Macaca fascicularis: one gene and its partners. The protein of the gene in region 1 interacts with the protein of each later gene in a pairwise test. Links are inferred from orthologs where the notes say so. Each region holds a gene or a part of one and is shown on either strand. Other genes may lie near its edges.

Region 1 (4,705 bases):
ATTTCGGGCCATTTCAAAAGGAGATTACTGTGTAAATTACAATTATGAAATTATAATTAGCTAACATGCTAAGAGACAAATTCAAAGGCACATTAAACTCTCTGTCACCTCCAAGTTGTCTTTGGCACTCAATCCAAGCGGGGAAGGCACGCTAAGGGGGTGAGATGTTGGGGTTTCTGAGTGGCCTTGGGGGTTCAGGGGTTGGGAAGGAATTCTCCCACCCTCTTTGCTTGGCTTTAGGTGGTGGATTCTTATGCCACCAGGGGGCAGTGCCTCCACATGCACCTGGACCCTGTGCTCCTGTGCCCAAGAAGCCCCACCAGGGTCAGTTGATAACTAGACAGAAATCTGGCCTCCATAGCCTGAGGCCCTGTGGCAAGCCAGTGCCTACACTACTGTAGCTTTGCTGACTTCTGAGTGCTCCTCACAATCCAGCCACCCTGTAGGGAGGCTTGTCCATGGTGGAGACTGACACCAAAAGAAGGGAGAAACTTGCTCGAGGTAAAATCTTGAGGTCATAGTGAGATAAGATTGTCAGATAGAATACAGGATATGCAGCTAAATTTCAATGTTAGATCAACCCATGAATCCTTTTTTTAGTGTAAATATGTCCCAAAGGTTAGTGTACAAGAGAGAATACTTACACTACAAATGTAGTATAAGTACAGATGTGTTGTTTATCTGAAATTTAAATGTACTTCGTATCTGTATTTTCATTTGCTCAATCTGGCAACCTTGGCTGGGCTTCCCAGGCTCCTGAATCCCACTAAGCTGAGCACACTCAGTAGTTTCTCTGCTCCCAAGGTGGCCCTCCAGAAAGCTCAAATTTCATCGCAGCTGCTCCACTAGATCTGGGAAGGGCTTCTTTGGGGCCCCCAGGAATGCAGGCAGGGCCTATATCAGCTCTGCTTCCCAAGAGCTCGGCCCCAGCGCTGGACAGGTGAGGTGGGGGCAGGGGACAGGCAGCCTCAGACCATGCTGCCCTATCTCAGCTAGTTCTGACCCCTTCCTTTGCACTCCCTCTCCTTCCTTCCTTCCTTCCTTCCTTCCTTCCTTCCTTCCTTCCTTCCTTCCTTCCTTCCTTCCTTCCTCTTTTCCTCCTTCCTTCTTTCCTTCCTTCCTTCCTCCCTTCCTCTTTTCCTTCCTTCCTTCCTTCCTTCCTTCCTTCCTTCCTTCCTTCCTTCCTTCCTTCCTCCCTTCCTCTTTTCCTCCTTCCTTCCTCCTCTTTATCCCACCTGACCCAAGGGCTCTGGGGGAAGAAGAGGCTATTTCTAAAAGGAACGTTTTATAAACCTGTCCTGATTCCTTTCACAAATAGCCTCCTATTCCCCCAGGGGCTCTGGGGTTGTTTCCTAGAATGAAGGGTTCACCACAGGTCGTGTAGCAATCAGTGTTTTCCAGAGAAACATAACTGATAGGATGTATATATGTATGTATGTATATATGTATATATCTGCATATGCACAAGTATATATACATTTATTTTAATAAATTGACTTATGCAATTGTGGGGCTGACAAGTCTGAAATGTGCAGGGCAGCCTGGCAGGCTGGCAACTCAAAGAAGAGTTGACACTGCAGTCCTGGGGTAGAATTACCTCTACTTTGGGAAACCTCAGTCTTTGCTCTTCAGGCCTCTCAGTTGATTGTGTGAGACCAACCCACATCATCGAGGATGTGTCTCTACTTTACTTCAAGTCCACTGGTTGTAGATGCCAACCACAGCTACAAAATGCCTCCACAGCAACACCTAGACTAGTGTTTGAAGGAGTCACTGGGGACTAGAACCTGGCCAGGTGACACATAAACCTGACCATCACAGTGGTCTAATCAGTAGGGAAACTGAGGGAGAATTGGGACTTAGAAGGTGCAAGGCCTGAGGCCCCTGGGAGTTCTAGTGGCTGCAGTCAGGTCCCACCTCTCTTACCCTTCTCTCCCTTTGTTCTCATGGCTCCTGCCTAGTCTGACCTACTTCAGAAAAAGGCTACCTCCCATGTCTGGGGACTCTGGATGGGGGAGGTAGGATATGCTCTCCAGAGAATCTCTTCTGAAGGTGTGGTATGGCCTGGATTGCTAGGACCTAACTCTGCTGTAGCCACTGCCTGGCTCTTGGACCCTGTGCCAATCCCTGTTTCTTCATAGAAATGATGGAGGGTAGACCCTACCCTTCCCCCCATGGGCTAAATATGGAGATTCATGAGCCAGAGCAGTTCTCACAGTCAAAGGCATGGAATTGTATCTCTTCTCCTAAGTTGCTTACAGAGTAGCAAGGAGAAGGCCACGGACCTAGCCAACAAGATACAATAGAAACAGAAAGTGCTGAGTCCAAGGCCTCAGCCTAGAGAGGGAGTCTTGCTCCACCCCCAGGTCTGACTATATCTTCCTTGAGCTCCTGTTCCAGGAAGAGGTGATTTTCTGAGTGTGACTCCTCTGTTCCTGGCACCCTGTACATCCTTAGCCATAGCTTACAAGTGAACAGCTGGTTGTGATGGCAGGAGGCCCTCCCAACACCAAGGCAGAGATGGAAATGTCCCTGACAGAAGAATTGAATCATGGACGCCAAGGGCAAAACCAAGAGCACCTGGTGATAGCGGGTGAGGATCCCCTAAAATACCCCTAGGCTACAGCCAACTGTGTAGATACATGTCTGTACCTGTGCATGTGTGTGTTGGGAAAGGTGCATGTGTGCATGGAAGTGTTTGCACATCTGTGTGTTGGGCGGGCTTTGAGGATTTGTGGGTTGATGGTAAGGGATCTAGGAGAAAAGGGATAGATGATGTGAGCATTTTGCCCTGGGAGGGAGGAGGATGGGAACAACATGTGTGGTCCCTCTGTCTTCCCCTTGTCCAAGCCACCACAGTGTCTGTTGCAAAATACTCAGAGGGCTCAAATTATGAGACCAGAGATCAATTCTCTCTCCCAACCCTCGAATTCATTTTCCTGCCATTTGGAGGAAAATCCAGACTCCATGATCTATAAGATTGTATCAGCCTCCTCAAAACATTTCATACTATGATATAGACAGAAAATACCATTTCTATAGCACACAAAGGGATCCAGATCACATTGCATTTATGTTTGTTCTTACAATGCTCCAAGCCTGCTTCTTCCCCAAAGACCTTGCATTTGCTGTTTCCTCTGTCTGGAATGCTCTTTCCCTCAATTTCCCAGGGCTGGGTCCTTTATTTTTTTCAGGTCCCTGCCTCAATTGTTGTCTCCTACTTTTCTAGAAGGAGCCCTTTCCTTCCACTATGTTACCCTGTTTTGATCATTTATGGAGCCTGCATCTCTCTGTCTGCATTTGCAAGGATAGACCTTCTGTTTTACACCTGTCATTCACTCTTATACACAAAACAGATGGTCAGTTCCTTGATAGCTGGAATCTTGTTCTTGGTCATTGCTCTCTAGATTACTGGAGAGTAACCTAGTCTCGAGCTGAGCCCTCAGGATTCTTGTTTAACTTTTGAACAGATGAACAAACTGAGACCTGGGATCAGCTGGTGGACAGTGGTTAATGGGTGCTGAGTGATTCCCAAGAAAGCTGGGGACTCTGTCTTCTTTTTGGTGTGTTTTGTGCCCAAGAAGCCCTGGTACAACTTCTATGGGTGCTCCTGGGGTCTCTGTTCTTCTCTCTAGAAATGATGGAGCATGGATCTCGGTCCCTGGGTGCCTCCCAGAAGAGGCAGAAGTTGGAACAAAAAGCTGCTGGCTCTGCTTCAGCGAAACGAGTTTGGAATATGACTGCCACCCGATCCAAGAAAATGGTACTGCATGGGGTCCTCAGCACATGTTGGCCAGGTTGGGGTTGGGAGTACTGGTTGTAGGGGCTGTAGCCTGACCAGGTCAGGCAGGGCTAGACATTGACTTGTGAGGAGGAGGAAGCTCCTGTATTCCAAGCTGGCAAATGAGGACAGAAAGGTCAGGGTCATCCTTTCCTATGCTTGGGATGCAACCTTGGGAGTTCAGAATGCCTGAAACAAATATTGCATGGGGAGTACATAAATATTTCACTCTGTAAATCCATTGTGTGAAATAACGCTTCCTGTATTTAAAATTGTGTGTGTGGTGCGTGTGTGTGTATACACACAATAACTCAGGTGAGGCTCCTACGCTTTCTGGCTGTTAAGAAATCCAGTCAAGTCGTCTGGCATGGTGGCTCATGCCTGTAATCTGAGCACTCTGGCAGGAAGAGGTGGACGGATCACTTGAGGCCAGGAGTTGGAGAACAGTCTGGCCAGCATGGTGAAACCTTGTCTCTACTAAAAATACAAAAATTAGCTGGGCATGGTGGCACATGCCTGTAATCACAGCTACTCAGGAGGCTGAGGCATGAGAATCGCTTGAACCTAGCAAGCAGAGGTTGCAGTGAGCTGAGATCATGCAACTGTACTCCAGTCTGGGCAACAGAGCAAGAGAAAGAAAGGAAGAGAGAGAGAGAGAGAGAGACAGAGAGACAGAGAGAGAGGGGGAGAGAGAGAGAGAGAGAGAGAGAGAAAAGAAGGAAGGAAGGAAAAGGAAAAGAAAGGAAAGAAAGAAAGAAAGAAAGAAAGAAAGAAAGAAAGAAAGAAAGAAAGAAAGAAAGAAAGAAAGAAAGAGAAAGAAAGAGAAAGAAAGAAAAAAGAAATCCAGGAAAGTGAATCTGACCATTTTGTAGCCAGTCCTTTTAAGCTACATTCGATATGGGTGAAGGAATGTTTTAGAATAAA
Region 2 (4,663 bases), on another chromosome or scaffold:
TGACTCTTGGTAGTGGTGGTATATCCTTACTTATGCCACTCACCTATTGCAGTCATAAAGATAAATTCAAAGCAGTTGTTTATCTTAGGTTAAAAATCAAAGAGACAATTGATTCCTTCTGACATCGCTTCAAGGGGGAGGAGTACTGATAAATCCAATCAAGATGAAGAAGCTTTTCCCAGGCAGTTTAGCAACATAAGCAAAAATTAAATGTTAAGATCACATTTAGGCCAGGCTCAGTGGCTCATTCCTGTAATCCTAACACCTTGGGAGGACAAGGTGGGAAGATGGTTTAAGCCCAGAAGTTCAAGCCTAGCTGGGCCACATAGTGAGATCTGTCTCTACAATGTTTTTTTTAAGATCACATTAGAACTGTTTAATTATAACACAATTATATGTGGTGATTTTACTATACATACTTTAACACTGCTGCTGCAATAGGTGCCAGTAACAACCGTTTATGCTGAAATCAATTACAGTAGGCATATGGAAATGCCCAGGCAAGCCTTTCACTTCCCCATTTAAACAAAAAGGTTTCATCCTAAACACTCATGTTCACTTTTTAACGAACAGCCTGTACGTTTAGATCACCAAACATCCTTGAAAAAATCCTAGATCTGTGCTTCTCATTGCTCCCTTGAGGGTATATAGTTTTTAAACAATGAAATGAGATGCTCTATCAGAAATGTTAACACAAGTCGGGCGTGGTGGCCCACACCTGTAATCCCAACACTTTGGGAGCCTGAGGCGGACGGATCACCTGACGTCAGGAGTTCAAGACCAGCCTGGCCAACATGGTGAAACCCCATCTCTACTAAAAATACAAAAATTAGCCGGGAGTGGTGGCACTGGCCTGTAATCCCAGTGATCAGGGAGGCTGAGGCAGGAGAATCGCTTGAACCTGGGAGGCAAAGGTTGCAGTGAGCGGGGATCGTGCCATTGCATTCCAGCCTGGGCGACACAGCAAGAGCGCATCTCAAAAAAACTAAATAAAATAAAATAAACGTTAACACAAAATTTAGAGGAAAAACTAGAATGGTGCTGACTTCTCTCAAAATTGTGAAAATATGGCAAAAGATGATTGTGCCACCTACAAAAGTTACATTTATTATCACTATGCAGAACATACTGAAAACGCTGCGACCTTTAAAAAGATAAAGTCTACTAACTGATGTCTCAGTTTGTTGTAGTTAGAAATATCAGTTGCAATAAAAAACTATAATTGTGGAATATTACTGTCACATTATACTAGTATTCTGCTTTATAAGATGTAAACATAACATGACATCTTTTTTTTTTGAGACGAAGTCACACTCTGTTGCCCAGGCTGGAGTGCAGTGCTGCAATCTCGGCTCACTGCGGCCTCCGTCTCCTGGGTTCAAGCGATTCTTGTACTTCTGTCTCCCGAGTAGCTGGGATTGCAGGCATATGCGACCATGCCTGGCTAATTTTTGTATTTTTAGTAGAGACGGTGTTTCATCACATTGGCCAAGCTTGTCTCATCTCATTGCTTTATCATTTTTTGCTCTTGACCTCAGGTGATCTGCCCACCTTGGCCACCCAAAGTAACAAGACATCTTTTATCTACTATCAGCCCTGTAACTTACTAGATCTGGTTACATATACTTTCTCTGACGCCTTTCTCCCTATTGCTCCTTCTACCAGCATTACTCCAGACAGAATGAACAGAACTTTTCCAGAGTGCTTTCCACATGTACTAACCACTTTCACGTCCATCATCTCATATTCCAACCAGCAACTTTGGGATGCATGACACTTGTGTTATCATCATTGTATCTTATATATGAGGCAATGACACGACATCTTGGTCTCCATATCTAGTCCAGAACTGTTTCTAATATAGCACACCGTCAGCAGTGCACTGGCAACTGTATACAGAATAAGCCTGTCATGCCTGATTTGGTTGCACTTAGCTTCAAAGGTCTTGTAGTGCCTGAAGGCCATAATAGCACTGACTTACGATAATCTAGTTCAAGTTCCGTTTGCAGAAGTGGATCTGTCATACTTCCTGTCTGAGCCCAACAGTGTTGGGCTGCACTAGAGATTACGAAGACTAGGAAAAGAGTTTAGAAAAAATATAAAACAACAAGAACTAAGAATATGTGCAAAATGATGAAAAACTAGTCTGCAGGGGTAACTTAACTGAGTAACATCAGTTGTAATTTTGAGGAAACAGCGATTTACAAATTACGGAATTTGTTTCTACAACTGCAGAGATTCCTATAAACTATTAGAAAAACTACATTTAATTGAAAATAAGAAATCAGGTGTTAGGTGAAATAGAGATCCTAATCAAGAGAAGCTGCGAATGAAAAAAGCAACACTAAAATGCAATCACATAGTTTATTCAACTAAATAAATAGGAGGCACTGTGACTATCTTGACGAACACCGCAAAAGCTGTGCCCTCAAAGAGCTCACAGGACACACAGACAAGTAACTCCAGAGACATGAGATGCATCCAGAAATCCAAACCATTTTGCCAGGTATTTAAACAGAAAAGGTAGTGTCTAGATTCACGCGGGGACTCGGCTTTTGACGTACACACTCTGTATTTGGTTGAGCGTACTCGGGAAGATCTATTAAAGCCCTGATTACTTATGCTGCTTCCGTGTCTATTCCCCGAGGTTACGAGGCATACCAGAGGTCCAAGTTTCTTTGTTCTGCACCAGGACGGACGCTGGTCATAAATACTGAACCATCGTAGCCCCGCAACTTCACCCACACCAGGGTAAAAAAGGAGTGGAGGAAGGGCAAGGTTCCATCCCGAGCACAACTACCAGAAACGGAAAAGGGGTGGGGTGGGGGGCCAAACTGCCAAATACAAACAGGACCCGAGCCAAGGGCGGGGACCTAAACTGGGCGGAGATCCAGGAAGCGCCTTCCGAGCAGGTTCTATGGCTCCCCCCTACCAAGGATAACTCTCTGGGTTTCCTCTCCGCGGACGTCGTGGGCACGCGCCCGACAGACTTGCGCCCCTAGGCCGGTTCCCAGTCCAGCTACGGAGCCACGGTGCCAAGTCCTCCCAGGCCGCACTCACCCCGGAGGAAGCCTTGGCCCCCTCGTCCTCTTCGCCCCTCCAGGCCGGCGACGTGGGGCTGACGGCCAGGTCGTAAAAAGCAGCGCCGAGCGGAGCCCGCTCCCCTCGCTCGGCGGTGGAGACCCCAGCCCAATCCCTCGGCCGCAGCGGCACGGCGGCGGCGGCAACAGCTGACCCGGACGCAGTGAGAGGCCCCGGCGGAAGTGATAACATCCCGGCCTCCTCCGGGAGCGGCAGCCGGAGGCGTGGTGGCGGCGGAGGCGTGGCGTCTTCTTGAAACCCACACGGCATATCCCCACCCGCTCAGACGCCACGAGCTAGCGCTCTCGCTTGCCCGCCAGGGGTGGGCCTTCCTTGCCTCTGGGCGGAACCGTCGCGGCGACTCCTTATTGGTGGCGTTACTGCGCCTCAAGGCGTTTCTTCAGTCTTTGCTGTCCGCAGGGACGCTGTCCAGTAGTCTCAGTTATTTTTGTTTTCTTTCTGCCTGTCTTTATTGATCATTACAGTAGGTGAAATTATGGATATCAATAATAATATTGTAATGCAATAGGTGCAATTATCAATATCAATATTATTACAACAGGTGCAATTATCAGTATCATTACGATAGGTGCAATTATCAACGTTCAATAATAATGTGAATTGTGAAGTGGATGAAATAAGGGGAGGAGGCCGGGCGCGGTGGCTTATGCCTGTAATCCCAGCACTTCGGGAGGGCGAGGCGCGTGGATTACCGGAGGTCAAGAGTTCGAGACCAGCCTGGCCTACTTGGTGATCCCTCGTCTCTACCAAACGTACAAAAACTAGCTGGGCGTGGTGGCGCGCATCTGTAATCCCAACTACTGAAGAGACGGAGGCGGAGTTTGCAGTGAGCCGATATCGTGCCATTGCACTCCAGCTTGGACAACAGAGCAAAAACTCCGTCTCAAAAAAAGGAAAAAGGGGGAAAAAATGAAAAGAGAAAAGAAATAAAGGGAGGAAAAATATCCGAGGCCTCATTTTGGGGAGCTAGGCCTCAAAAGTGACCTTGGAGTTTGGTAATATTTGCGTGTGAACAGCTTCATAGCAGTGCTTCTCTTCACTGGGGGAACGGTCCGTTTATTTTGTAAAAATTTTCGATTAGTTGTTGACCACAAGTTGATAAAACAGAAAAATGAAAAGGCATACAAAGTCCAAGTCAAAACTTTTTATCGTTAGAGTTAACAGCCATAAAATTACCTGCAAAATTGCCATAGAGTTTTCTACTGTCTCTCTGCAGACAATTTACAAACAGTTCTCAAAAGAGCCAGGTCTATAGACCATGGTTAGAGTACTCAAGGTAAACTACTCAAATTAGACTATACTCAGCTGTACAGTTTCAACCAAATGAGATTTGTTTGGAGAACATCATAGTCTCTCTCAGCTGGGCGTGCCTCTAATCCCAGCACTTTGAGAGGCCGAGTCGGGTAGATGGCTAGACCTCAGGGCAACATGGCAAGACCCCATCTCTTTAAAAAAAAAAAAAAAAGAGAGAGAGAGAAAGGAAAGGGAGAGAGAAAGAAAGGAAAGAGAGAGAGAAAGAAAAGAAAAACTAAGTAGACTTGGTGGCATGCACCTGTGGTCC
Region 3 (4,721 bases), on another chromosome or scaffold:
AGATCACGAGTTCAGGATATCAAGACCATCCTGGCTAACACGGTGAAACCCCATCTCTACTAAAAGTACAAAAAAATTAGCCGGGCATGGTAGCAGGCGCCTGTAGTCCCAGCAACTCGGGAGGCTGAGGCAGGAGAATGGTGTGAACCCGGGAGGCAGAAGTTGCAGCGAGCGGAGGTAGAGCCACTGCACTCCAGCCTGGGTGACACAGCGAGACTCCGTCTCAAAAAAAAAAAAAAAAAAAAAAAAAAACTAGGAAAGCAGGCTGAGCATGGTGGCTCATACCTGTTATCCCAGCACTTTGGGAGGCCAAGGTGGGAGGACTGCTTGAGCCCAAGAATTTGAGACCAGCCTGGGCAACACAATGATACCCCATCTCTACAAAAAATTAAAAAAAAAAAAAAAAAAAGCCAGGCATGGTGGCACACACCTGTGGTCCCAGCTACTCGGGAATCTGAGGTGAGAGTCTTGAGCTCAAGAGGTCAAGGCTGTGTGAGCTGTGACTACATCACTGCACTCCAGCCTAGGCAACAAAGTGAGACCCTGTCTCAAAAAAAAAAAAAAAAAAAAAAAAGAAAAGAAAAGAAAAGAAAATCAACTCCACAAGGACAAAGGAAGCTTCAGAATGTTCACACAAAGAGACACTGGAATGTCTTCCAGATCTTAGCAGATCCTTCCACAAGGCAGTGGATGTCATAACCTACCACCTTGCCTGGGACATATTAGGAAGCACTCAGTAAACACTGCTAAGTAAATGAATGAATGACCTAAGGGCTACCTTATTTTTGCTCACTGAAACAAGAAATGCAGGTTTACAGATCCCTTGCCATAATTCTGATCTACAGCTCGAACACTTTTCCACAATAAATCTGTACTTGGAGAGAAAAAGAGAAAGGTTTATACAGATGACATTTGTCTAAAAGTAGAGTGAAGTAGTAATCACATACACAGCATCCGTGTTACTAGTTTTATAAAAATATATTTTAATTTGCCTCCCTTATTTCCTAAATCCTCTTCCGAGCATCTGTTTGTAAACTGCTCATGCCATAGATTATCTCTGGTCTATCAACAAAGACTTTGTGCCTATGCTGCAGGCTACCCTTGTTTCTGTTTTTTCTTCCACCTTTTACCCTTAACCCCTCCTCAAGCCCCTACCACATGCACTGAGAGAGGGAGAGGCTGAGAGAGAGAAACAGAAAGAAAGAGAGAAAGAGAGAGATGACTGCACCTTGCAAAACAGGAATTTAGACAAAACAGGGTTCATTTGGCACACAAATATTCAAACACAAAGTGTTCACCATAAAGTATATACAGAATACAGAAGACTCAAATACACAATACAGAAGACAAAACTGAGTTGTGTCACCCTTACTGAATTCACCTTCAACCACAGGACTTGAGAACTGGTTACCAAATTTGTAGATTCTATTAAGGCTCCAAGTTGCTTGGGGATGGAGTGAACAGGAGGGTAGAGGTCAGTTTTGTCATTTGTTAGGAACTGAGAAGGATAGGGAACTAAACTTGATAGGACCTTTTACACTGATAATGTTATTAAATGCTTGTAACTATAAGGTAGACATAATCTACACTGGCTAGGTGGGAAAACTACAGCTCTAAGGCTCAAGAGGTAGAGCCAGATTCAACCCACACTTCCTTACTTCAAATGTTCTAAAGCTGACGATCTTTCCACCACATCCTTCTTCTATAAATCCAACCTTGGGGATTACAGCTACTCCCTTTCTCTAAAATAATTTCTTCTCCTTAGAGCACTAATAAGCTAATCAGAGACCTGTTGGTAGACGAAGGAGCCTGAGATTACACTTGTTACAACTGCTCTTTATCCACTGTATTACCTTGAAGTCAGGTTGTCCTCTCTCTGACCATGTTACTTTTTGAATATAGTTGATTTCTAAGTTATTCTAAGAATGAAAAAACACTGAGACTCCAAGATGGCTTCTGTTGCAAGTGCAAACACTTAAATCAGAGCTATTAATAACATTATCCAAAATGTACTTTCCAGAAACTCTATTTGTTTATTTAATTCTATCTAGCAACGTTAAACCATTTCCAGTTGCTTCCATTTTTCATTTTACTAAAATTATCTTTAGCGGGATCAACTCTCCTCTGCAAAATGTAATTAAATATTATCCTCTATGTTGGTTCTGAGCTGTATTCTTTTCTGACCATGTCACAAATTTCACCAATTACTTTCCACACTGGCAAGTCTTTCGTGGCTTTGATTTCTACAAACCTAATTTTTCCCCAAGCACTTTATCCTTCTGGCTCTGGAGGTACATGTGTAAATCTGTAATGAACACAAAACCTGTAATGGAACGTCCTACACCCAGTGCTCTGAAAAGTTGGTTCAGTGTATCCAATATTTAAAGTCTTATAACACTGGCATGCTAAGGGAAGTTTGCTATTCAGATTAAACAATGCTCTGACGTGAGATTCGTGAATGGTTAAAGAAATAGTCGTCCCTTTCTCACTCCCCATCTCTTCCAACTGGGAGAAGCCCTCGGCGCCCATCTGTCAGCCCAGGGTTCCCGCAGGCGCGTGTCTTGGGTGGCCCCGGGGTCCAGGGAGAGGCTGGCGGGAGAAAGGGGACAGAGGACTCCAAGAAGCCCAGTGAAGCCCCGTGGGGAGCCCCATGGTCAAGGCCGGGCCTGAGGGCGGGGCTGGCCCTGGGCCGCCTCCACCTCTGGGCCCGCCCTGCGCCACACCCTAACCCGCCTGCTCTCGGCTAACGGGCCGCGGCACCCGCCTCCGCCCGTCAGCCCTCACCTCGCCCCGACGGCGGCCTTCGGAAGTCGGCGCCCGCCAGCTACCCGCCGCCTCCTCAGCAACCTTAGCCGACCGGGCTGCCCCGGCCCAGGTCACCGGCGGCCCAGGCGCAGGTAGGCGGTGGTGCGCGTGCGCGAGCCTTGAGCCCCCATTCGCTGCTGCTAAGCGACACCCGCACCCAAACCGACCAATCCCGGCGCGCCTCCACAGCCCCAGTCCCGGCGAAGGCGCGAAAGTAGTGGTTGTTAAAGGGCTGCGACCCAAACTGAGAGGGAGCGTGACCGGGGCGCGCGCCTCGCAACTTTCTTCCCACCTCTCGGCTCTCACCGCGGCAGTTTGAGGTCCAAGCCTGTAATTCTCACGTCCGGAGATAAGAAGGAGCCTTCGTGGTATAAGCTCGATTCCTGCCGGGGTAGCAACCGGACCGACGTCTGGAGGCGGGGAGGCTCCGCGTGACAGTGTGATACGCCCGGGGCGTGTGTTCTGCGGTCCGCGCGGCTGGGCGGGAGGCCCGAGATAGGCAAACCAAAGAGCACAACCTGCTGCCAGCCTGGATAGGGCGCCAAAGTCCGACCCAGGGGGACACACCCCAAGCTGGGGGCGGAGGCACCCACAAGTGGATGACGGGCTGGAAGGAGATTAGGTAGCAGAGTCCGTCCATTTATTCATTTAGCAAGTATTGAGCACCTGCTGTGTGCCAGGGCTTGTGGACAAAGCGAGGAATTCCTGACAGGAAAAACTATATTAAGAGAGGAGGGCAGGGTGAGAGCACCCTTCAAACAATCAAACACCTGTATAAATACAAATTGTTCTTCAGAGAGGAGCAGGGGTTTTGAGAGAATTTACAGAAGCTTCTAGGCTGGTGTTGGGAATCACAGGAGGCTAACTAGGCAAAGGGGAGAGGAAGTGTGTTTCAGATGGAGAGATCAGCATGTATATAAGGACTCTGTGGAAGGCAGCAGAGCTCCTTTGAGGGATGGAAAGAAACCCAGACAGGGGGTAATGGAAAGTTAGTGCTTAATAGATACAGAATTTCAGCTGGAGAAGATGAAACAGTTCTGGAAATGGTTAGTAGGGATGATCGCACAACAATGTGAATGTACCAAATGCCACAGATCTGCACACTTAAAAATGGTTATGTACATTTTACCAAAAAAGAAAAGAAACTCGGAGTTTAGAGAGTAAAGGAGTAGAGTGAGATCAACTAGAGCAAATAGAAGGAAGGGGCCAGACCATGTAGGATTTTATGGGCCATAGTGGAAAGTTTAGGACCATGGAACACTGATCAAAATTGCATTTTATAAAACTCACTTTGGCTGCTAAAGTGCAGATCAAAATGGAGAAATCTCAATAAAGCTATGGTGGGACTTGCCTGGGAGCCAGTGCAGTCATCTGAGCAAGAGAGAATGGAGCTGGAATGTGGACTGGTGTGAGACTAAAGAAAAAGAGATCTAAGCAGGCTGCAGAGAAATACAGGAGCAAAATCAATAGGACTTGGTGATGAGTTGGATGTGAAGGGGCGATGAAGTAGCTTCAAGGATGAGGCCACTGTTCAGCCATGGATAAATGGATGGATGGTGGAGGGATTCACAGATATGGAGAACACTGGAAGAGGAGATAAAATGGATCTTGAGCTCCATCTTAGACAAGTTGAATTTGAGGCACCTTTGAGACTTGGTTAGGATTTTGCAATGATTCATTTTAGATGTCAACCTGACTAGGTTAAAGGATACTCAGATTCCTGGGGGAACATTATTTCTGGGTATGTCTATGAGGGTGTTCCCAGGAGATATTGGCATTTGAATCAATGCACTGAGTAAGAAAGATCTGTCCTCATCCAATATGGGCAGGCACCATCTAATAGATAGAACAGAAAGGCAGAGGAAAGGCAAATTCTCTGTTCTGGAGTTGGGACACCCCTCTTCTGCTCTTGGCAT
Region 4 (4,042 bases), on another chromosome or scaffold:
TATAGCATCTTAGTGGATTCTTTATAGTCTTGAAAATATTTAGGATCCCGTCCCAGGCATAAAAATAAACTGCTCAAAACCTTTTGTCAAGTTTATGCTCGAAGCTATTGTATCCTTTGGGTTATTTTCAGAGGCACGGTTTTTAGGCATTTCTTTCTAACGCTGTTGAATTTCTGAGCCTTAAATATGTCAACGACCATCTGTAGCTCTACTCCAAATATCCTTCCCAGTTGGGGTTGTAATACTCATCTCCCACATTCAGGACCTCGGCTAACTCCTCTCAACCCTTTGCCTGGTCTGGGGCAGTCTAAATTACAAAGAACAGGCTGAACCTTTATTTTAACCTGGTCTTTTTTTGCCAGAAAAAGTAATATAGCAACGACAGTAATGCATCTCATGTTTTAGTAACAATGGTTTACCCCAGGGAGCATTAACGTCACTGTGTACCTTAGCAGCTACTTTTCCTTGCATTTTATAATTCCCCTTCCCCCGGCCCCGCCCGTGGGCAGCATCCCAAAGCCGCCTCGCTGACGTTGGTTAGGGTAGAGACGCTCTCCGTAAAGGCTGTCCAAGCCTTCTCTTCCTTTCATTAGCGGTGTAATCCTGTGTTCCCGCCGGAGCCTGGCACGGAAGTGTAATCTTCCCGCGGGGGCCCTCCTGTAGTCTCGCTTATCTGAGAGCTGAGACTAAATGAAATATAAAATATTCACGATAAGAGGAAACAAAGGATGCTACCTCCAGGACGGCTACTGTGCCTGAGGCTGGGCTCTGTCTCAGTCATCCCAGGGCCTCTCCGTCTGGCCCCACCCTCGCCCCTCCATGGGATCCACAAGTTGAATCGCAGCTCTCTAGGGTGAATTTCCCTGGCCGGGAGCCAGACTCTGCACCGCCGCCCCGTTCCCCCACTGCTGGGGAGCGCAGAATGACCACCAGGAGGCCAGGAACAAAACGCTTAAATGTTGCATTTATTAAGGAAATGTTAAATAAGAAAAAAAAACAAAAAGTCAAAACGGTGTCACGGATGTCAAGAGCACTTTTGTGGCGTAAACCGTGCAGTCACGAGCTACGAGTTCTATTCTGGGTCTTTGTATCAGGGCCAGCAGGAACGCTAGACACCTCCCAAAAGACCCAGTGGGAAATGCACTAAAAGAAACAACTCACCCCCCTCAAAGTCGCAGGCTCCCCTCCCCCCACCCCTTCTCCCACAACGACAAAACTTTAACCCCTCAGGCAGGCAAACAGGCCACTGGGGCAGAAAAAGACTTATCAAATATTTGTATTCAAGCAAACAAACACAAAACCTCTTAAAACAGCACGTTACAATCAAAGGTATTTATCGCCTCTCCCCTCCAGGGCTGGTGGGGAGCAGGAGAAGAGTGGGAGCACACCCGGACACGGATTTGTGAGACCCCATGATGTCTGCTGCGTGGCTTTTAACAGGTCACTTTTCCGGTCACAAGGCGATCAGTGCCGCTGGGTCTCTCCCCTGCCCTCCCTCTCCACTTGCCCCCAGAGCTTGGCCCACCTGCGGGTGGAGAAGGGCCTTCGCCCCGTCGTTCTCCCCGCATTCCAAGTAAGTAGCAGCTTCCAAAGTTCTGCGCCCTAATCGCCTTCTTCTTGCCACTTTCTGCTGAGTCCAGAAGTCCGGGCGCTCTCCTCCGACTGCCAGGCATGAGGACTTTCAGAGGGCGAGGGAGAAACCGGTCGCTTCTTTCCGGAAGGCCGAAGTCGAGAGAAATAATTGACTCCGACAGGTTTGCTTCGCCCAGTCTCTGACAGTGAGGGGCACAGCCGGGCTGGCAAAGTGGGCAGGCGTGGGAGCGGTTGCCGCGGGGGCGGAGGGGCGGGTCAGTAGGGCCCCACGACCACTGCCTCCACCTCCTTAGACGGTCTCCGGTCCTTCACGAGGAAGTTGATCATGCCCTCGGACTTGATCAGCAGATTGCAGCCGAGGAAGAAGATGCCGAAGACCACGGTGAGTGAGAGCACGCACATAACGGCGATCTGCACCACGCGCATTATGTACAGGCTGCGCTCGTCCGGGCCTCCCTCCGCGAAGCCGTCGTCGGTCACCACGGACGCCTGGGTGCAGCAGCGCACGGCTCGCTCCAGCGCCTCGCTGCTGTTAGCCAGGAACAGGCCCGCCACGTCGGTCTGGTTGCCCAGGGCCGGATTCATCGCAGGAGCGGGCGGGCGCCGCGAGCGGCGCGGGTCCGAGGGGTGGGAAGGCGGCGGCGCTGGAGGAACAGGTGCCGAGCTGAGCGCTCACTCGCAGACTAGCGCTTGCAAGGGCTCCTAGCTCTGCTTTCGAAAGTCCCTGGGCCGTGGGAGTTTCCCAGGAGCCTCTCCGACGCGCGCAGCAGCTAGGCTCTTCTAAAGCCGTCCGCTCCAGCCCGGGCGGTGCTCGTTCCCGGCGCTCGCTCGACTGGGGGCTGTTGGAACTTGGTGGGGCTGGACCAGCCCGGCCGTGGGAGGTGCGGGCAGCGGCGGCTGCAGCGGCGGGGCGGCTGCACTGAGTAAACAGCGGCCCCTTCCGGCCGCACCGCCGCGCTGCGCGCTACTCTTGGGCGGTGGAGGAAGCAAAGGGGCGAACCTGGTCTTGCTTTTTATTGCTTTCTTCTTTTGCAAACTCCAAAGGCCAGGCAGAGGTCATCGTACTCTTCTAGCTTGATGGATGATTAAAAGAGTTTGGCGGGGGAGGGTGCGGTCAGCTGAAAGTTTCAGAGGAACTGGGACACACGAGCTCTGCGTGTCCTCTGCCGGCTGCCCCCCTGACCTCTGGGCTGATGGAAAGTGGCGATGAATCCCAGGTGCCAGATGGTGCCAGCTGAGGCCACCCGCCCACCGCCTGTGCTTGACTCCGTCTCGCCTGCGTTGGATTTCTGGTGGAGTGGAGGTGATCTGAGAATGTTTCTTACAAAGTAATGAATTTGGAAAGACAGAAAGGCATGGAAGAAGGAAGGAAGGAAGGAAAGAAAGAAAAAAGGAAGGGAGGGAGAAAAAAGAGCTCTACACTCAACTTCCTTTACAAAAGCGATTGGGAGACAGAGCAAGGCAGATTTTATCATGAGGTGTGAGGCCAAGGAAAGGGGGTTAGAGGAAGGAGGAGTTCTTCTGTGGCCCTTGGGTGGAGGTGGTTGCCGGGAGCAGGGGTCACCTCTCTGGTAAAGGAAGTGAACACAGTGACCACTTGCTTGTAATTTTAATTGCAGATGAATTTTTGGATGTGCTTCCAGCATTTTGTCCATTGGCAGTAAATCAGTTGTTTAAAGGAATTGCTCATCAACATCCATCACCTAAAACGCTGGCCAAATGCTGGGAGCCCTCCCCATTTTCCATAAGCTGATGCGTTTCACCCTTAGTCATTTAAACTAAACACAGATGTTTGTATGGGCCTGATTGACGCTTCAGCCATTGTGATTTTGCCGTAGGTTCCAATGAAATTTTATAAACCTATAGATTAAGTTTCTTAACTCTGAAAGAATACTGCATGATCCCGCGCCCCCTTTTCTATTTTCTTTTCCCTCCCTCCTTTTCCCCATTACTCCCTGCCTTCCTCCCTCTTTCTTTCAGCTGTAACAGCTGGAAACCAGTAACTTGAGCTTTCAACAGAATACATTTATTTTCTATTAAATGTTCTCACCACAAAGAACTGATAAAAATTCGAGATAATGGGTACGCTAATTACTCTGATATGATCATTCCACAATGTATATGTGTATCAAAATATCACTTTGTACCTCATAAATATGTACAATTGTTTGTCAATTAAAAATAAAATAAAACTGAAAAGCAGCTATCTTGCCATTTTCAACTCTAAATTTCATTCTGTTTGCTTGGTAAATCCTCTTATTTCTGTTTCTTAAAACGTTATTTATTCCATCTTCAGAGTGTTCCTTAAATGTTTTTGCACTGCTTCATGACTATAATAAAATAGAATGAAATGCCTTCTGGTTGAGTTTTCAATTTTTTGATGTTTATTGTATATCAGCTGCAATAAGTTTGATTTTTTAGAATAGCTATTGTTATTTTGAGGGGGGTG
Region 5 (4,726 bases), on another chromosome or scaffold:
TTCCACTACCCGGAAGTGTGACACGCCGGGCTGGACTTCTTCTAGGCTGAATTTGGGGCAGATTTTTGCATTTGTTTTGCTCAAGTATTTATGGGGCCAACTAATATGTTTAGCAACGTTGTGTGTGGGAGCAGTAGAGGAACTGAGAAGTTTACAAACTGTAAGAGATCCCCCAAAGAGTCCACAGGTCTGAGGCAGCAGCACCTGGGAATCTCTGGGTTCCAGTTAGTCCTTCCTGACTGACTCGTTACAGCAGTGTCCAGACAAGGAGATGTCAGGTCCTGGGGCAGGGTTCCCGTCAGGTGGGATGGTTTAGCCCCGCATCTGCTTTCAAAGATCCCGAGATTGGCCGGGCGCGGTGGCTCAAGCCTGTAATCCCAGCACTTTGGGAGGCCGAGACGGGCGGATCACGAGGTCAGGAGATCGAGACCATCCTGGCTAACACGGTGAAACCCCGTCTCTACTAAAAATACAAGAAAATTAGCCGGGCGAGGTGGCGGGCGCCTGTAGTCCCAGCTACTCGGGAGGCTGAGGCAGGAGAATGGCGTGAACCCGGGGGGGCGGAGCTTGCAGTGAGCCGAGATCGGGCCACTGCACTCCAGCCTGGGGCACAGAGCAAGACTCCGTCTCAAAAAAAAAAAGATCCCGAGATTATGCCGTCGCAGCGGACAGGACAAGAGTGGGTGCGTGGCAGGGACTGAGTCTGAGGCCTGGAGGCCCTGTCTGAAACAGGGCTGTCGCTGTCGCAGGGCCCTCTCTCCTTCAAGCAGTTATCATACAGCTATTCCCCTTCCTTGCGTTCAGACCCTCTCCTCTAACAGCCTGCACCTGCAAGCAGGGACCTCCGTGGCAGCCGGGACAGCGTGTCTGTCTCGGCCTCCCCAAAGTACCCCGGAGCCTGAATTGGGCGGGGGATGGTGCGGGAGCAGCGCCTGACTCCGAGGAGGACCCGGGCGGCGTCTCCCGCCCCTCGGTGACCTTATGGGCCAAGGCTGTGAAGAGCAGGCGGGGCGACGCGGAGGGGCCGGGCGCTAGAGGCCCGCAAACAGCGCGGCGGTCCCCGGCAGGAGACGCGGCCTGGCGGGCCGGGACGGCGGCGCCGGGCGCCTACGCGCGGTGCTCTGGGAGTTGTAGGCACTTTCCTCTTCTCTCTCCTTCAGCTGGCTGGCTCTCGAAACCCAAGGACCTACCGGTGGGTGGGCGCCTGTGACTCCCAGGCTGCGAACACCGGGAACTCAGTTTCTTCAAAAATGTCTGAACCAGGACTGCTCCTGGGGGTCCTCGCGCCCTCGCAGAAGGACTACGGGACCCGGCGACCCCGGGGGCGGGGCTTCTGGCGCGCTGCCTTGTGGGCGCGGTAGTTCCGCCAGGCCCGGCTTCCGCCTGCCGAGCGTCCCGGGACAGCGGGCCGGACTACACTTCCCGTCGGCCCGCCTGCTCTCCCGATGCCGCCTTGGCGCGAGACGTTGGCAAGCGGAGTGTCTCCAAGATGGCCGCTTGGGGAAGGAGGCGTCTTGGCCCGGGCAGCAGTGGCGGCAGCGCCCGAGAGAGGTGAGATCCAAGGGCTTGTTGCCCACGGTGCAGGCGGCTCAGGGGCCGGAGAGCCCAGCGCGGCCTCCGGGGGCTGCAGCAGCCTTCCTGCCCTGGTATCCCCGGGCTCCCCCGACCCCCGCCTGGCATACGGGGTTCCAGTTCCGGAGGATCCGGGATCCGGGTAGGAGCGAGGTCGAAGGCTTCGGCGGAGAGCTTAGGGGAAGGGGCGTTAGCCGGGCTGGGTAAGGTGGGCAGCGGTCATGCGGGGTGGGGCTCGAGGCCGGGCCGTGCGGAGAGGAACTGGCGCCCAGCGCAGGCCTCAGGGACCCGCTTAGCCGCGGGCTGATCGGCACCCTTCCCGCTTGGCCGCGCGCGTGGCCATCTCGGCCGCGGCGCCCGACGTGGCGAGGAAGGCAGGGCCCCTGGAGAGAGAAAGAAGGTGAAGCCTTCACAGAGCAGGCTGGCCGCGGCAGGGGTAGTTTGATCTGCACGTTTACCAGGGAGCTTTAGCTCCCACCACATGTGTCTCTTCCGGGCCCAGAGCCGTCCACTTCCTCGAGGGGCGATTCTGGAGACTTTTGGATGGTTCTGTGCAAGCGCTCCTGCCGTGGAAGTCAATTAAAGTGACCTTTCCTAATGAATGGTGTGTGGGTAGGGAGCTAGGAGCGTGTTTCTTCCAACAGAGACCTCCATTTGAGTAACTGATTTCTAGAAGATGAGATTGGAGTAGTTTCCGTGTTACATGTTCAAGTTGCAGTTTTTGCTTCTGGGAAGCAGTTTCAGCTAGTGGAAGCCACTAGAAGCTGTTCAGCCGCTAGAAGTTTTGGGAGAGGATGTATATTGGTGGAGCCACCTGGATGAACTATCCGCTAAAGCTTGATTGTTAACAGCAGCGGTCAGCAAAAAAGGAAAGTTTTGGTTTTGCTGTTGTTGTTTTTTTCCCCGTCTCTTTGGTGAAGATTGTCTAACCAGAAAATTTCTCTGCCTGTCAACTACTCTGCATTATTCCTTTTCTATGACTGATTCCATCCCGTGTTCATTGCTATTGCTTGCAGATGGCTTTCCCAGCTGGGAAGATTCTTCCTGTTTGGCAGTTGTGATAGAGTCCGTTAGCTTGCTTGCACTTTATTCTTGAGCCCAGTTATCCAACGTCGCCCATTCTGCATTTCCTCTTCCTTGGAAAAGCAGTGGTAAACACACTTTTGTTTTTTTAACTCCCGCCTGGTATTTCTTAGATTGGACCATTTAAATAAGTTACCTCAGTGGTTTTCAGATGCCCTTAAAAACTAGCAAACATTTTCAAGATATTCAATGCAAACAGTAATAGGAAATAACCTGTTTAGAAAACAAAGTTTTAGAAACGTTCGCCCTCTTGTTGGACTAAAAGCAACTGAAAAGAGCCTTATAGGGATGCCTCAGGCAGGGAGCAGGAGCCTTGCCAGCACAGGTTAAGCTTTTATTGATCTAAGAAAATAGATCCTGAGAATTGTTTTTGCTTTGGCTTGAGACAAGTATTTATTCAAAATGGAGTTGGCAAATCAGCAGTGCATCAGCTGGAGCCAGTGCTTGACTGTTGAACCTCAACAGTTTTTAAGAGAATTTAAATTAGTTGCCAACAGATTTCACATAAAACGCTCCCTGAAAAGCTGGGTAGTGGCTGACTCTTTTTGGTTAGGACAGTGCTCTCCAGTTCTTGGTTCCTCACCTGACAGCTTGACTCAATCACCTGACAGCTTGACTCAATGCATTTACCTGCTTGGTCTCAGGTTGCACCTTTGGCCTGGAACTGAAGGCTCCACTCATACACGCAGATGTTGTGTGTCAGCAGGAATGTGGCATTTGGTTTTGTGGTTTGGATGTCACCATCAACTCTCCTAGATAATGTGGTGTGGGTGGAGACTACCTCTCTGTTTGCTTTTGCTGTAAACCCCTAGCCAGGTTCTGTAGGAAAAGTCATTTGCCCGAGCCCAGCTTCCCTAAGCTCTTTCCATGCTGAGCAGGGGATGGAAACATAACCCGCTGTGTGGCTAGCGAGCTGACTTCTGGGCATCCCTCCATTCCTGCTCAGTTGGTGATGACTGTTCAGGTGGGGCAGGGCGGATTAGCTGATGGCCCAGCACCCTAGATTAGGAGATCTGAGTGTATTATTGGCTCTTATGACTGAAGTAGGCTGTTTATGGCTCTCTTAAATGACTTTGTTCCATGTCACATTTGTGCTGACTCAAATCTCAGCTCCATATTGTACGAGTGCTCTCTCCCGTTGCTGCTCACACCTGGTTAGCATCCGCTTTTGCTGAAGCTGAGGGAAACAGTGTCTGGTTTGGACAAGGGGCTAGAACAGAGCGACGCTTTGGGCAAACTTGCCAGATTTGCCAGCGGCTACCAACTCTGAAGCACGCACTGTACTTAAAGGCCTCACCCAGTGCCAGATTGCCCACAGTATTACTGCCAGCGCTGTGTGTTGGATGGTCCAGCTTAGCGCGTGGTAGCATGTGGGTTCTTGCTTTACCTTGTTGAGTCTAGAACCACAGCTCTAGAATTAGTGCTGAATTAACACAGCAGTTCAGTAGTCACCAGCCACATGTGGCGATTACATTTAAATTCATTAAAATGAAATAAAATGAAGAATTCAGCTCCTCAGTCTCACTAGCCACATTTCAAAGGCTCAATAGCCACTTCTGGCTCGTGGCTACCATATTGGATAGCACAGGTGGAGGACATTTCCATCACTGCAGAAAGTTACGATATGGACAGTGCTGGTTTCGACTAAATTAGGAGGGGTGGAAATAGCAAAATGGTAGTGCTTGCATGTTGATTTTTCTCTCCACTCCATTAAATCTAGGGAACCAACAGTGTTTGTAATGAAGAACATCAGACTCTGAGCTGTAACCTGAATTCTTGTCCAAAATTCAGCACACTGGCAACGAGCACATCAAACAGATTGCCACTTGTCCTGTCGGCGTCTTTGAGACACACTTGCCCATCTAGGAAAGCACAGTGCAGGTATCTGTGTTCTGCCACCGTGTGCCAGCCCGGACCAGCTCACAGACAGCCCCGCCTGTCTTACTTGGGTTGCTTGACTTCACTCTCTCAGGGCCCCTGAACCTCCCTGAGCCCTCCGTGATTGTTGGAATGTGAGTATAGCTGTGTGCTCTGAGTTCCTGTTTTTATAATCATGTGAAGATGTACTTGA

What was found.
Region 2: the proteins of FATE1 (region 1) and BNIP2 interact in binary tests that used the Homo sapiens proteins (3 or more experiments, as listed by UniProt). The two-hybrid records come from large-scale screens. The link is inferred for Macaca fascicularis from reciprocal best matches to the Homo sapiens genes FATE1 and BNIP2.
Region 3: the proteins of FATE1 (region 1) and SEC22C interact in binary tests that used the Homo sapiens proteins (3 or more experiments, as listed by UniProt). The two-hybrid records come from large-scale screens. The link is inferred for Macaca fascicularis from reciprocal best matches to the Homo sapiens genes FATE1 and SEC22C.
Region 4: the proteins of FATE1 (region 1) and RPRM interact in binary tests that used the Homo sapiens proteins (3 or more experiments, as listed by UniProt). The two-hybrid records come from large-scale screens. The link is inferred for Macaca fascicularis from reciprocal best matches to the Homo sapiens genes FATE1 and RPRM.
Region 5: the proteins of FATE1 (region 1) and TMEM11 interact in binary tests that used the Homo sapiens proteins (3 or more experiments, as listed by UniProt). The two-hybrid records come from large-scale screens. The link is inferred for Macaca fascicularis from reciprocal best matches to the Homo sapiens genes FATE1 and TMEM11.

The regions. Positions count from the first base shown.
Region 1 is NC_088395.1:157,778,635-157,783,339, forward strand, and holds the start of FATE1 (fetal and adult testis-expressed transcript protein), read left to right. Parts: upstream 1-1,517; 5' UTR 1,518-2,487; coding exon 2,488-2,593; intron 2,594-3,635; coding exon 3,636-3,763; intron 3,764-4,705. UniProt on the Homo sapiens protein: Involved in the regulation of endoplasmic reticulum (ER)-mitochondria coupling. Negatively regulates the ER-mitochondria distance and Ca(2+) transfer from ER to mitochondria possibly implicating it in the regulation of apoptosis.
Region 2 is NC_088381.1:36,168,844-36,173,506, forward strand, and holds the start of BNIP2 (BCL2/adenovirus E1B 19 kDa protein-interacting protein 2), read right to left. Parts: upstream 3,247-4,663; 5' UTR 3,061-3,246; intron 1-3,060.
Region 3 is NC_088376.1:105,428,429-105,433,149, forward strand, and holds the start of SEC22C (vesicle-trafficking protein SEC22c), read right to left. Parts: upstream 3,247-4,721; 5' UTR 3,112-3,246; intron 2,918-3,111; exon of another isoform or gene 2,785-2,917; intron 1-2,784. UniProt on the Homo sapiens protein: May be involved in vesicle transport between the ER and the Golgi complex.
Region 4 is NC_088386.1:48,950,761-48,954,802, forward strand, and holds RPRM (protein reprimo), read right to left. Parts: upstream 2,428-4,042; 5' UTR 2,179-2,427; coding exon 1,849-2,178; 3' UTR 947-1,848; downstream 1-946. UniProt on the Homo sapiens protein: May be involved in the regulation of p53-dependent G2 arrest of the cell cycle. Seems to induce cell cycle arrest by inhibiting CDK1 activity and nuclear translocation of the CDC2 cyclin B1 complex.
Region 5 is NC_088390.1:20,636,627-20,641,352, reverse strand, and holds the start of TMEM11 (transmembrane protein 11, mitochondrial), read left to right. Parts: upstream 1-1,480; 5' UTR 1,481-1,489; coding exon 1,490-1,551; intron 1,552-4,375; exon of another isoform or gene 4,376-4,665; coding exon of another isoform or gene 4,666-4,667; intron 4,668-4,726. UniProt on the Homo sapiens protein: Plays a role in mitochondrial morphogenesis.